2 linked regions of the Coturnix japonica genome follow. The protein of the gene in region 1 purifies or fractionates together with the protein of each later gene. This does not show direct contact. Links are inferred from orthologs where the notes say so. Each region holds a gene or a part of one and is shown in the gene's direction. Other genes may lie near its edges.

Region 1 (5,411 bases):
AGAACCATAGAATATCCTGTGCTGGAAAGAAACCATAAGGATCATCAAATCCAACTCCAAACTCCACACAGGACCAGCCAAAATTCAAGGGTCTTCCTTCAGACCCTATGTCTGAGTGCACTGTCCAGATGCTCTCTGAACTCCGGCACTTGGGGCCGTGCCCACAGCCCTGTGCATCCCGTTCCATGCCCACCGCCCTGTGGTGCAGCCCCTTTCCCTGACCCCCAGCTGCCCCTCCCCTGGCACAGCTCCATGCCGTTCCCTCGGGCCCTGTCGCTGTCACACAGAGCAGAGCTCAGCGCTGCCCCTCCGCTCCCTGTGAGGAGCTGCAGCCGCCATCAGGCCTCCATCAGCTCCTCTGCTCTGCGCTGAGCACACCGAGGGAACAGACAGTCTAACCGTGTTGGCTTTTTATCAGCATTCCAAACTGATGCTGTTTTAACGTTTTTAAAGGTTTGTATGGCACAGAGCGTAACCTCATAGGAACATCTCTCACCTTACACCTTACCACCATGCAGATTATAGGTTTAATTATTTTTGACAATTCTGCTTTGATAGTCTCTTTTTCTTCTTTTTTTCTTTTCCCCTGTGTGCAAGGAACAACCGTGCCGCTTACCTTTGTGTAAATGAGTTTTAAGAAGCTGCATGTGTGCGAAACTAGTACAGCAGAAATGAGGGCTGCTCCGAAAGTAATGCCTCCTACTTGATTATGTTGGCCCAAAACATCAGAAGCAGATGTTGGTGGTATGGCAGAAGATGTCAAACCTTCCCACTGAAATTCTGCTCCGTTTTGTAGCCATATGACAGATGGCAGCAGAGGGGCACTGTGACACAGTGGCATCTGATGTGGAAGCGCATACAAAGGTGTGTCACTGAATTCTTCCAGGCTGAAAAAAAATGGCACCCACTGACATTCATTGATGCTGAATGTTGATGGAGACCAAGCAGTGGATGTGAGCACAGTGGGGCGGTGGGTGGTGCCTTTCAGCAGTGGTGACAGTGGCAGTGGGTCACCTCTGCTGGTGTGGATTGTTAGGAGCATGACATGCAGGCTCATGTTCATGGCTGTAGAAAATGCATAGCTAGTGGTGCTGAGCATTGAAAAAACAGTGTTTCATAGCTGAGAATTTACTCTAGTAACAAGTAGTGCCATTGTGCTCCTTCTATCTGTAGTGGTTTCCATGCAGACAAATAGGAGACACGACCTTTGCAGAAACCTACACGCTTTGGAAACTGCAACAGCTCCCAACTAATTCAGGCACAGAATCACAGAATCGTAGGGGTTGGAAGGAACCTCTAGAGATCATCGAGTCCAACCCCGCTGCCAAAGCAGGCTCCCTACACCTGAACACAACGCTCTTCTGCAAGGCTTCTAACTCAGAGCTCAGGAAAACAGAATCACAGAATGACCCGGGTTGGAAGGGACCTCATGTAGTTCCAACCCCCAAACAGCCCCAAACGCCAACAGCCCCTCAAAGCTAGGACAAAATCCGCTCTACCCGTCCCCGGACAAAGGCGCAGAGCTCGGGCAGAGGAGCTGTTAGGGCAGGCAGGGCTGCAGGGTGCAGCCGACTGAGGAGCACCCCTCCCCACACCTACAGCCGGCTCAACCCTCCCCACCGCGCTCACTGACAGCCGCCCCGCGGAGCCCCCTCCCGGCGCCATGACGTCATGGCAGTGCGCGCCTGCGCACGCCGCGCCGACCGACCCCTGTGCGTGCCTTTGCGTGACGGCGGCGGGGAGCGCGCGCGCGCCCCCGCCCTCTCTCCGTCCCTCCGTCCCTCCTTCCCTCCCTCCCTCCCCGCGCTGCCAGCGCCTATCGCGGCCGCCGCCGCCTCTTCTCCTCGCGGCTGGGAGCGGAACCGACGGCCGCCTCCCCGCCCCTCCCCCTCCTACTATTATCCTCCCGCACGGTGCGCGCTCCCGTAGCCACCCTCCCCCCCCCTCCATCTCCTCCCCGGTGCCTCGGGAGCGCGCCCGCTCGGCGAGGGAGGGATCGAGCCGGCGCTGCCGCCCGCCACCGCCGCCTATCCCCTCCATGGAGCTCGCGCCGCCCCGCTGAGCCACAGCCGCCCGCCCGCCGCTGCCGCCGGGGAGTAACCGGGGGAGGGAGGAGGGTGGGGGGAGGAAGAGGAGGAAGGTGGGGTCGCGGGGTGCGTGACACGCGCGGCGGCCCGAGGAGCTGAGAGCCCCTGCGGCCGAAGGTTGCGGCTGTTGGCGCTGAGCGGCGGGGGAGCGCGCCGCGCGGCGGGGAGCGTGTGCCCGCGGCCCCCCCCGCTTCCTTCTCCTCCTCCTCCTCCTCCTCCTCCTCCTCCCCCCGCACCCGGGGCCGCCGCCTGACGGGCGGACCATGGCCGACGACGACGTGCTGTTCGAGGACGTGTACGAGCTGTGCGAGGTGATCGGCAAGTGAGTCCCGCGGGGAGGGGGAGGGGGGGGAGAAAGAAAGAAAAAGGAGAGGGGATGGGGGAGAGCGGAGCCCCCCCCCCCCACACACACACACACCCAGCGCGGGGATGGCGTGCCCGGCACCCACCTGAGTCGCGGTGCGGGCAGCCCCGGCGCTGCCCACCGCCCTGAGGTTGGGGGGAAGGGGGGTGGGGGGAAAGGAAGGCGCCCCGGTGCTTCCTCAGCCACCATGATCCCCGCCCGGCCGGCCGCCGCGCAGCCTGGCGCTGCCCAGCCCTCCCGTTCTCCTCCCCATCCCCGGCACACCCATCGGTGGTTGCCTGCTTGAAGAAGGATCGCTGTGGATCCACCTATCGCTCGGGTGGCCGCGCCAGGTGTCGGCTCTCCCCGCGCCTTGGCGCACAATGAGCGGCGTGCTGCCGGCGGTGCCCCTGGCACCCCGTGCTCGCGCGGATCTGCCTTCGCTCCGCTCCCCGGCGGCGTGTGAGGCAGGGGGAGAACTTGGCCTCTCCTGTCTCCTTATGCAACTGTTAATGCGTGTTCGTGTCAAACCTCGGAGGTCGCCGGCGTTTTCTGGCTGCCCGTTTTGGGCCACGCTCCTGTGGGCTGCGTGGAGATGACAGCTCCGTGCGTTACCACACCAAGAAAACGCAGAGCATCCCCCAAATCAGATGGCACCGAACGGGAGCCCAACTCTCTGTATTTTCGTGACCAGCCAGTTTCTAAATCCTATTTTTGTTTTATTTCGTTGCGTTCCACACGCCTCCTATAGTTGTGCTTGGGTTGAGTGAAAGATGTAGCGGTGTTGCTGCTTCTAATTGTCTGCGTGTCTGACTGAGCAGCTGAGATTGCTGTGGGAGCCGCTGCTCTGGGTGCCTGCAGCTCTTTCTTCCTGAGGATGAATTCAATCAGAGCGGCATTCCCCGTGTTTTGATTATAAACAAAGAGTTCTTCTGCATGTATTCTCCCTCCCGCTCCCCTCCAGCGTGCTTCACAGTTTCTATCTGCTGCTGCCTGCTTTGAGAGCTCAGGCTAAAAATATTCTGGAATTAATCTTTCCTGAGGATTATACTAAAATGCTCGTCTTGGACTTAGCAGGTTACTTTGTTGGCAGCTGAAGTTTCAGCACTCTGCTCTGTCGTTTCACACGGTTATTACCACCTTGCCCTGGCCACAAACAACTTTTAAAAATAGGAAGCTTAGAGGGCCTTGCTTGCTGTCATAAGCTGAAAGGGCTTTCGCCAGTTGTTCGTGGGGAGCTTATGTAGCCGAGAAACAAAACAGTGATTATATGTGGTTTGAAGATGGTTTTTGGCATGCTCCTTTCATGAGTGGTTTTAAGCTGACCACTGCAGTTCACGCACTGCTTCCTCAGAGCTGGCTGCCATTGGAAGGAAAGTGAAGTGCTTCTGCTTGACAGGACTATGTGAGCTTATAGAGAATGGCTCATTCGCAGCCATCCAGATGTTGATGCGGCTCCACTGACTTTCGATGTTGTGATCTGAGAATATCAAAGGGATTCAAGGTTCAGAACCTGTGAATTGTGAAGCTTCTTTGGCTGATACCTGAGATTGAATTATTCTGGATGTGTTGTGATGTAACCTGATCTAACAGATAAGTGTTGGATTGTAGGAGCACGGCGCTGCCAAGAGCACTGTAACAGAACAGGGTGGATTACTGAAGCTAGCAGTGGTGGTAGGAAGGGGTTTGCGTATGGATGTTGTGTCCCTCCTCTAATAGGCACAGTTGTATTTGTACAGTTGTATGAGCAGTGTTCCTGTTTCATTGCAGTGCTACTCAGGTGACTTCTGAGCAATCGGGGATGCAGCGTCTTTAATTAGCTTTCACATTTTTGATAGCACCCCGCTCTTCTTTAGGCAACATGGGGAAAGCCTCATGTAAAATCTGCCTTGAGTTGCTACGTATGCATCTGGCTAAACATCTATCAGTGAAACACCAACTAAACGTCTGCACCTTCCCGTGATTTATTATTGATTGATTGAGTAATCTGCTTCTTGCAAATAGCACATCCGGCCCCTGACTTGTGTTTAGGTCCATGAAATATTAAAGCGTGTGATTTATCCTTCCTAAATGGGTAGTTATCGCTGTCATTTAAAGTAGTAAATGGTATTTCCAGAAAGGGTGTGGGAAAGAGATTTTGGACCGTAAAACAACTGAATATTTTGCCTGACTTTGTAAGAGAAATCTCAAAGTTCCCATACAGTCTACTTGAGAAATAAGTCCTCTATGGGTGTTCCCTTGCTGGCAGTATGTGGCCCTGTTTGTTGAAGCTTTTGAATAAACTTAAAACAGTTTCAAATGCGATAAACTGATAAGACTTATTTTGTATAAACACAATGATAATAGCTTTTTGCCGGAGTGTGGAGCAGTAACTGTAATAGTATGTGAAAGAATTGATCGGGATGACAGAGTGATGAATCGTTTCTTACGTGGCATTTAATGTGTTTAAGTTCTGCAAGCATGCATTTTTCATTCTGAATAGATAGAGGATAAAAGAAAAGCCAGGAGGGATTGAGAGAATTTCTAATCCATGTTTCCTTTAGGAAAAAAAAAAATTAAGGGCAATTTTCATTTGTGTACACTTCCAGTATCCCGATTTCTTTGCTGAATGCTGTGGAGAGATAAAAATTGAGTAATAAATCCAGTTTCTTATTAAACTTTTTTTAAAGTGGCGTCTGTGACGCTAATGTTAGTCATGTGGTTTTAACTTTGCACAGTGTGTTATGTCCCAGGTTGCTGTCTTATTTTCAGAGCTGGCTGGCACAAACACATTTCAATGCAGGAAGTTACTGGGGGTTGGCCTTCAAAAACACAGTAGTATATATGGGAATAAAAGACACAAGTGTGCCTTGTTTATATTTTTTCTAATTCAAACTTGCTTCCAGTTAGCTTTGAAGGGATTTTCACTGTGTGTCAATTAGAAGTACATACACTAAAATATTTAAGCCTCCCATCGCATTGATCAGAGCATTCATTTGATG
Region 2 (5,511 bases), on another chromosome or scaffold:
TCTGGAGGACTACAGGGTGCAGTGTGCCAGAGCAGCAGAGGAGTGGTGCAGCCCTACTCTGCTTATGGTTGTGTTACCCAGTGCACGGTGTGTTACACAGTGCACAGCCATGGTGCTACTGGCAATGTACTCTTCCTGCTGAGCTGGATGGTGCCCTGGGGAGCTCAGCCTCAAGATGGCTGGGGAAGGGTCTGGATCCATCCTGGTGTCTGGTACCACTCTCCCTGGGTTTCCTGTCTTTCTTACTGGGGTCTGCATGGTTTCTGTTGTTGCTGATGCTTAGTTGTCATCCCAGGAAAGGATGGAGAGGTCCTTCCCGTGAGCCGGATGCCAGAGCACCTCCTGCAGCTCAAGAGCAAGGTAAGGCTGAACTGGGGCTGGCACTTGTGCTTGGCACCTCTGCTTCCTCTGATGGCCAAACTGCAGGTGCCAGGAGGTTCTGCAGACCCCATTCAGCACCTCTACATCCCCAGGGTCCCGAGCACATCTACTGCAGCTGCGTCTCACCCTGCGGCAGCTGGATTGCCTACAGCACTGCCTCTCGCTTCCACCTCTACCACGTGCAGCATGAGGGCGACAGCGTCAGCGTCAAGAAGGTGGAGGCTGGGGAGGCTCACAGGGAGCTGGGGGCTGTTAGTGGCACAGTGTGTGGGTCAGCAGCAGCGTGACCGCCGGTGTTGCCTTCTCCCCCTGCAAGGTCCCTGGTGTGCCCAAGCTGCTGCTCCCAGCCTACCAGCTGCAGTGTGCTTCCGACTCAGGAAGGCTCTTCATCGCCTCCGACAGAGGCTCTGTCCATGTGCTGCAGCTGCTGGAACCGGGGGGCTGCAAACACCTGCACACGCTGCGCCCGCCTGCAGGTGGGGAGCCCTGGGGCCCCTGTGGGCACATGGCTGAGGCTGCTGCCCTCGGTCTGGGACACTTTGGAGTGGTTGAAGAGTTTCTTGTGTCTGTGTAGCATTTGTGTGTGGTGTTGTTCAGGGACCCGGGAAGCTGTCTACCTGCTGGCATCGAGCGCTGATGGGAACTGGCTGGCAGCGGTCAGCGGGGACTGGGAGGTGCACATCTACAGCCTGAAACACTTCAAGGTACAGGCAGGGCTCTGTGTGGGGCCCCCCGTGGTGTCCCATGGGCACTGGGGGAGGACCTGGTGGGTGTCAGAGGGCACGTGGGGCAGCGTTGTCCTTCTGCCTTTCAGCACCACTGCACAGTGCCCACCTACAGCTGCGCAGTGACAGCCCTCGCCATCCACCCAACCACCAACAACCTTTTTATCTCCTATTCGGACCAGCAGGTGGGAGCTGTGCCCTCAGCAGCCCTGTGCTGCTTGGGACCGGCTGTGTGCTGCCATTGGGCTGATGATGGGGACCCATCTTTTTTTCCTCCGCAGCTTTTTGAGTTCAGCATCCCCGAGAAGCAATACACGGCCTGGAGCCGCGCGGTGCAGAACAGCGGGCTGCACAGGCTGTGGCTGGAGAGGGACTCCCCCATCATCCACATCGCCTTCAACCCCAAGAACGCGTCGCAGGTCCTGCTGCACGACGTCTACATGCTGTGTGTCCTCGATAAATCCCTGGTGAGCCGAGAAGGGCCCCACTGGAGCGTGCTCTGCAGGGGCTGCTCGTGTGGGCACAAAGGGAAGGGCAGGGGGTGTGCAGCACTGCAGGGGGTGTGCGGGGCTTAGTGCAGAGCTGCAGCACTGACAGCAGCACTGACAGCAGCACTGACAGCAGCTGTGCCCGCAGCCCCTGCCCGACAACAAGACCATGCTGTCCAACCAGAGCACCCTGAAGCAGCTCTCAGAGCCCGCCCGGCGCCGGCAGCTCCACGCCTTCAAGATCTGCAAGAAGTTCCAGGTGGGCAGCTGTGCCAATGTGTGCAGCTCATCCTTGGGGGCGCCCTGAGCACCGCCCCGGGCCGGGCTCCCCGTGTTCCCGGTGCTCACCCCGTTGGTTGTGCTCACCCCGTTGGTTGTGCTCACCCAGTTGTGCTCACACTGTTGTGCTCACCCGGTTGTGTTCACCCGTTGTTCCCGCAGCCGCTGCTGTTCGCGGACCTCCTGGACGAGCGCTGCCTGGTGACGGTGGAGCGTCCCGCCGTGGACATTTGCCCGGAGCTTCCCCCGCCGGTGCAGCAGCAGAAGTTCGGCACTTAGCCCCGCTCCATCAATAAACGCGCTGTTCTCGTCCTTACCGTCAGCGCTCAGCTCCGCCCCGCGTCCCCCGCCCGCGCCATGGAGTCCCGCCACCGCCTCCCCCTCCGTCCAATCGGAACGCGGGAAGCCGCCCCCGCCCCGCCCCTCGCGCCGCGCGCAGCCAATGGCGTCCCGCCATGCGGGCGGGGGGCGTGTCCTGGCGGTGGGGCCCGTGTCGGGGCGGCGCGGCGCGGCGGTGTCGGCATGGCCGTGTGGACGCGCGCGTGCAAGGCGGGGCTGCTGGAGCTGCTGCTGCGGGAGCGCTGGGTGCGGGTGGCGGCCGAGCTGAGCGGGGACGCGCTGAGTCTCACGGCCGAGCCCGGGGAACCCGGCCCGGGGCTCAACGGCGTCGCCAACGGCGGCGGAGAGTGGGGCGGCGCGGAGGCGGCCGTGCCCGGCTGCGTGCGGAGGGTGCGGGTGGTGAAGGCGGAGGCGGGCGGGCTCGGCATCAGCATCAAGGGCGGCCGCGAGAACCGCATGCCCGTGCTCATCTCCCGCATCTTCCCGGGGCTGGCGGCGGAGCGGAGCGGCGCGCTGAGGCTGGGCGATGCCATCCTGGCCGTCAACGGCACCGACCTGCGGGATGCCACCCACGACCAGGCGGCGGAGGCGCTGAAACGCGCCGGGAGGGAGGTGATCCTGGAAGGTACCGGCCCCGCGTCCCACCCCCCCAACCCCCGTCCCGCTCCCCGCCCCGGGCTGCCCTCAACCCGGCCGTGTCGGAGCCCGCTCCCTGTTGCCGTGCTCCCGGGGCTGGCAGCGGTGCCCCGGGCCCGGCGCTGCTCCCCGCGGTGCCCGCCCTGATGCTCCGCACGGGACTCGGTGCCCGCCGAGCTCCGGCTCCTGCCCGACCTGTTCCCGGCAACCTGGGGCGGGACCTGCCGGTGCGGCGCTGCCGGTGCCACCGGTGTCAGCGCGCTGCCACCCCCGCGTCCCGTCCTGATGTCCACCGGGGCCGCGTGCCGGTGCGAGGGCGGGTGCGGATTTGTGTGGCTCAGCTGCCCCCGCTGGGTCCGGGGCACCGGGGGACGAGGAGGAGATGAGCCGAGTTTGGGGCTGGGAAGAGCGCGCAGAGGCAGACAGCATCGCCCCGTGGATGTGGGTTGGGTCCCCGGCCAGCCAGGAGTGCTGACGCTGAGCCCTGTCCCTGCTCTCCAGCCCTGGGCTTCACTTGCAGGCAGCTGTGCTGGCCGCCATCAGCACAGCGGAGCAGAGCCCTGCCCTGTCCTGGGTGGGAGCTGGGAGCTGAGCTCTGGGCCCACAGGGACCTCGGTGCTGGGCAGGGAGTTTGGAAAGAGGAAGGAGGTCTGTGAGAGGAAACCCACACGTATGGGTGGGGAAACCACTCCGGTGCTTTTGGGAGGGGGCTGGTAATGTTGGGCTGCGAATGGGGGTCTGGGCTCTGCTGAGAGCCCTGTGGGTGAGCCCAGGGTGCAGCGGCCTTCCTGCAGAGAGCTGTGAGGGTGCAGCAGTGCTGGGTTTCCTTTGTGGTGAGCGTGTAGGCGTGCTGTGCCATGACAGCCGTGCTGGGACACAGCTCAGCTGGTGAAGCTGCATGTGCCGCTGCCCCCTGTGCTGCACCACACCGGTACGGCAGCTCCATGCCCTGCCTGGAGCACTGCCCCCAGCAGCATCTCCCAGCTGTTCTGCCTCTGCTGCTGCCTGTGGTTCGGTGCTGGGATACGTTTCCTGCAGTGGCCACGGTTGTACAGCCCAGCAGTGTCTGTACTGTCTTGGCCACAGCAAGGGCAGGAAAACCACCAGGTTGACTGCACCAGCACCACCCACCCAAGCATTTGGAACGTTTTGGTTGCACATCTGGTGCTGTATGGGTTCCCCAAGGACTGCAGGGTGCCCTGTGCAAGCCATGGGAGGTGGGCATGAAGGATTCATCCAGCAGCTCCCGCTTCGGGCTCAGAATCCTGCCCAGGGAGTTTCAGGGATGTGGTTGCCTGTGCTGCCGGTTGCCAGCAGCACGGCTCAGAGCACAAAGGGCTCAGCGCTCACTCCTGGGCAGGGAGCAGCAGCCCCAGCGCTCTGCTCTCCATCCCCAGCCCCAGCTGCAGGCTGCCAACATCTGGCTGCCAGCTGTGAGCCGCCTCAGGGGCTGCCGCCGGCGGAGCCCCCGTCCACAACCATCCATCCCAGGCGCTGCCCTGCCCGTGGGGATTAGAGGTGCGTGGGGAAGGAGTAATCCGGGGATAAGCGCGGCGGGAGCTAATATTATCTCCTGGTGCCCGCAGCAAGGGCAGCGCATCCCGTCCAGCTGTGTGCCGGCTCAGCAGCACCGGGCGCCCCGCGGAGCTCCCACCACGGCCTCTCACCGTCTCCTGCGTGCGGGGAGCTGCGCTTCACAGCTGTTTCACAGCAGATTACCGCTTACTCGCTGCTTTTTTTCGCTTTAATTCCCTGCTGCCCTGCGGCCGTTCCCTCCCTGCTGAGGGGGCTCCGCTCTCTGGCTGGGCCGCCCGCTGCTCGGCGTCACCCCCCGCTCTGTGCTCTGGCACGCAGCGCTCCCAGCATCTGGAACGCATTGTGTTGGCTGTCCCTGAACGTGACAGCGGGGAGCGGCGCGGTGACGGGACGGCACTCGGCGAGTGAAGGATTTTGGTTTCCTGGCGCCTACCATGTGTTTGGGGAGGGATGGTCCGCGGGGACCCGGAGTGATGCGTCCTTCCTTCCTCCCAGCCCGGAGAGGAGCGCGGGGCCGGGACGTGCTGGCTGCAGGCACCATCCCGGGGCCGTGATCGCCTGCGGCGCTGGAAACTTGGCCGCAGCGTGCGGCTGGGTGGGCAGGATGGGCAGGATGGGCTGCAGGCTGACCTCCCGCCCGCACCATTGTGCCGCACCGCCGAGCCCTTCCGATCCCCGCATCCCGATGGCAGCGGGGTGGGCCCCGTGGGCCTTTGGTTCCCGGCAGGGGTCGGCACTGGTGTGACCCCGCGTGGCCCCTCTTCCCCCCACCCTAACAGCGACCCCCTGTGTCCGCAGTGAAGTTCATGCGGGAGGTGACGCCCTACATGAAGAAGCCGTCGCTGGTGTCGGACCTGCCCTGGGAAGGGGCTGCCCCGCAGTCACCCAGCCTGAGCGGCAGCGAGGACTCGGGATCGCCCCAGCACCACGGCGCCCGTGACCGCAAGGTCATCCCGCTGAAGATGTGCTTTGCTGCAAGGAACCTCAGCATGCCCGACCTGGAGAACCGGTGAGCAGGCGGCGTTCGGGAAGCGCTTGGCACGTGTCTCTGTGCCCCCATCCCGGCCCCATTGCTGGCAGCACGCCTGCAGCCGGGCTGGCCCCGTCCCAGCGCCCCGTATCCCCAC

The links. The genes of interacting proteins can lie anywhere in the genome.
Region 2: the proteins of CASK (region 1) and SNTB2 purify together in Homo sapiens (affinity purification with mass spectrometry; 3 studies listed by BioGRID and IntAct, with this or other methods). This does not show direct contact. The link is inferred for Coturnix japonica from reciprocal best matches to the Homo sapiens genes CASK and SNTB2.

The regions. Positions count from the first base shown.
Region 1 is NC_029516.1:100,753,935-100,759,345, forward strand, and holds the start of CASK (peripheral plasma membrane protein CASK), read left to right. Parts: upstream 1-1,816; 5' UTR 1,817-2,350; coding exon 2,351-2,409; intron 2,410-2,536; exon of another isoform or gene 2,537-2,685; intron 2,686-5,411. UniProt on the Homo sapiens protein: Multidomain scaffolding Mg(2+)-independent protein kinase that catalyzes the phosphotransfer from ATP to proteins such as NRXN1, and plays a role in synaptic transmembrane protein anchoring and ion channel trafficking.
Region 2 is NC_029526.1:16,871,282-16,876,792, forward strand, and holds the start of SNTB2 (beta-2-syntrophin), read left to right. Parts: upstream 1-2,209; 5' UTR 2,210-2,230; coding exon 2,231-2,837; intron 2,838-4,676; exon of another isoform or gene 4,677-4,682; intron 4,683-5,182; coding exon 5,183-5,393; intron 5,394-5,511. Other genes in the region: UTP4 (U3 small nucleolar RNA-associated protein 4 homolog), read left to right, coding at 296-360, 474-596, 698-857, 979-1,085, 1,196-1,291, 1,388-1,573, 1,743-1,853, 2,036-2,152. UniProt on the Homo sapiens protein: Adapter protein that binds to and probably organizes the subcellular localization of a variety of membrane proteins. May link various receptors to the actin cytoskeleton and the dystrophin glycoprotein complex.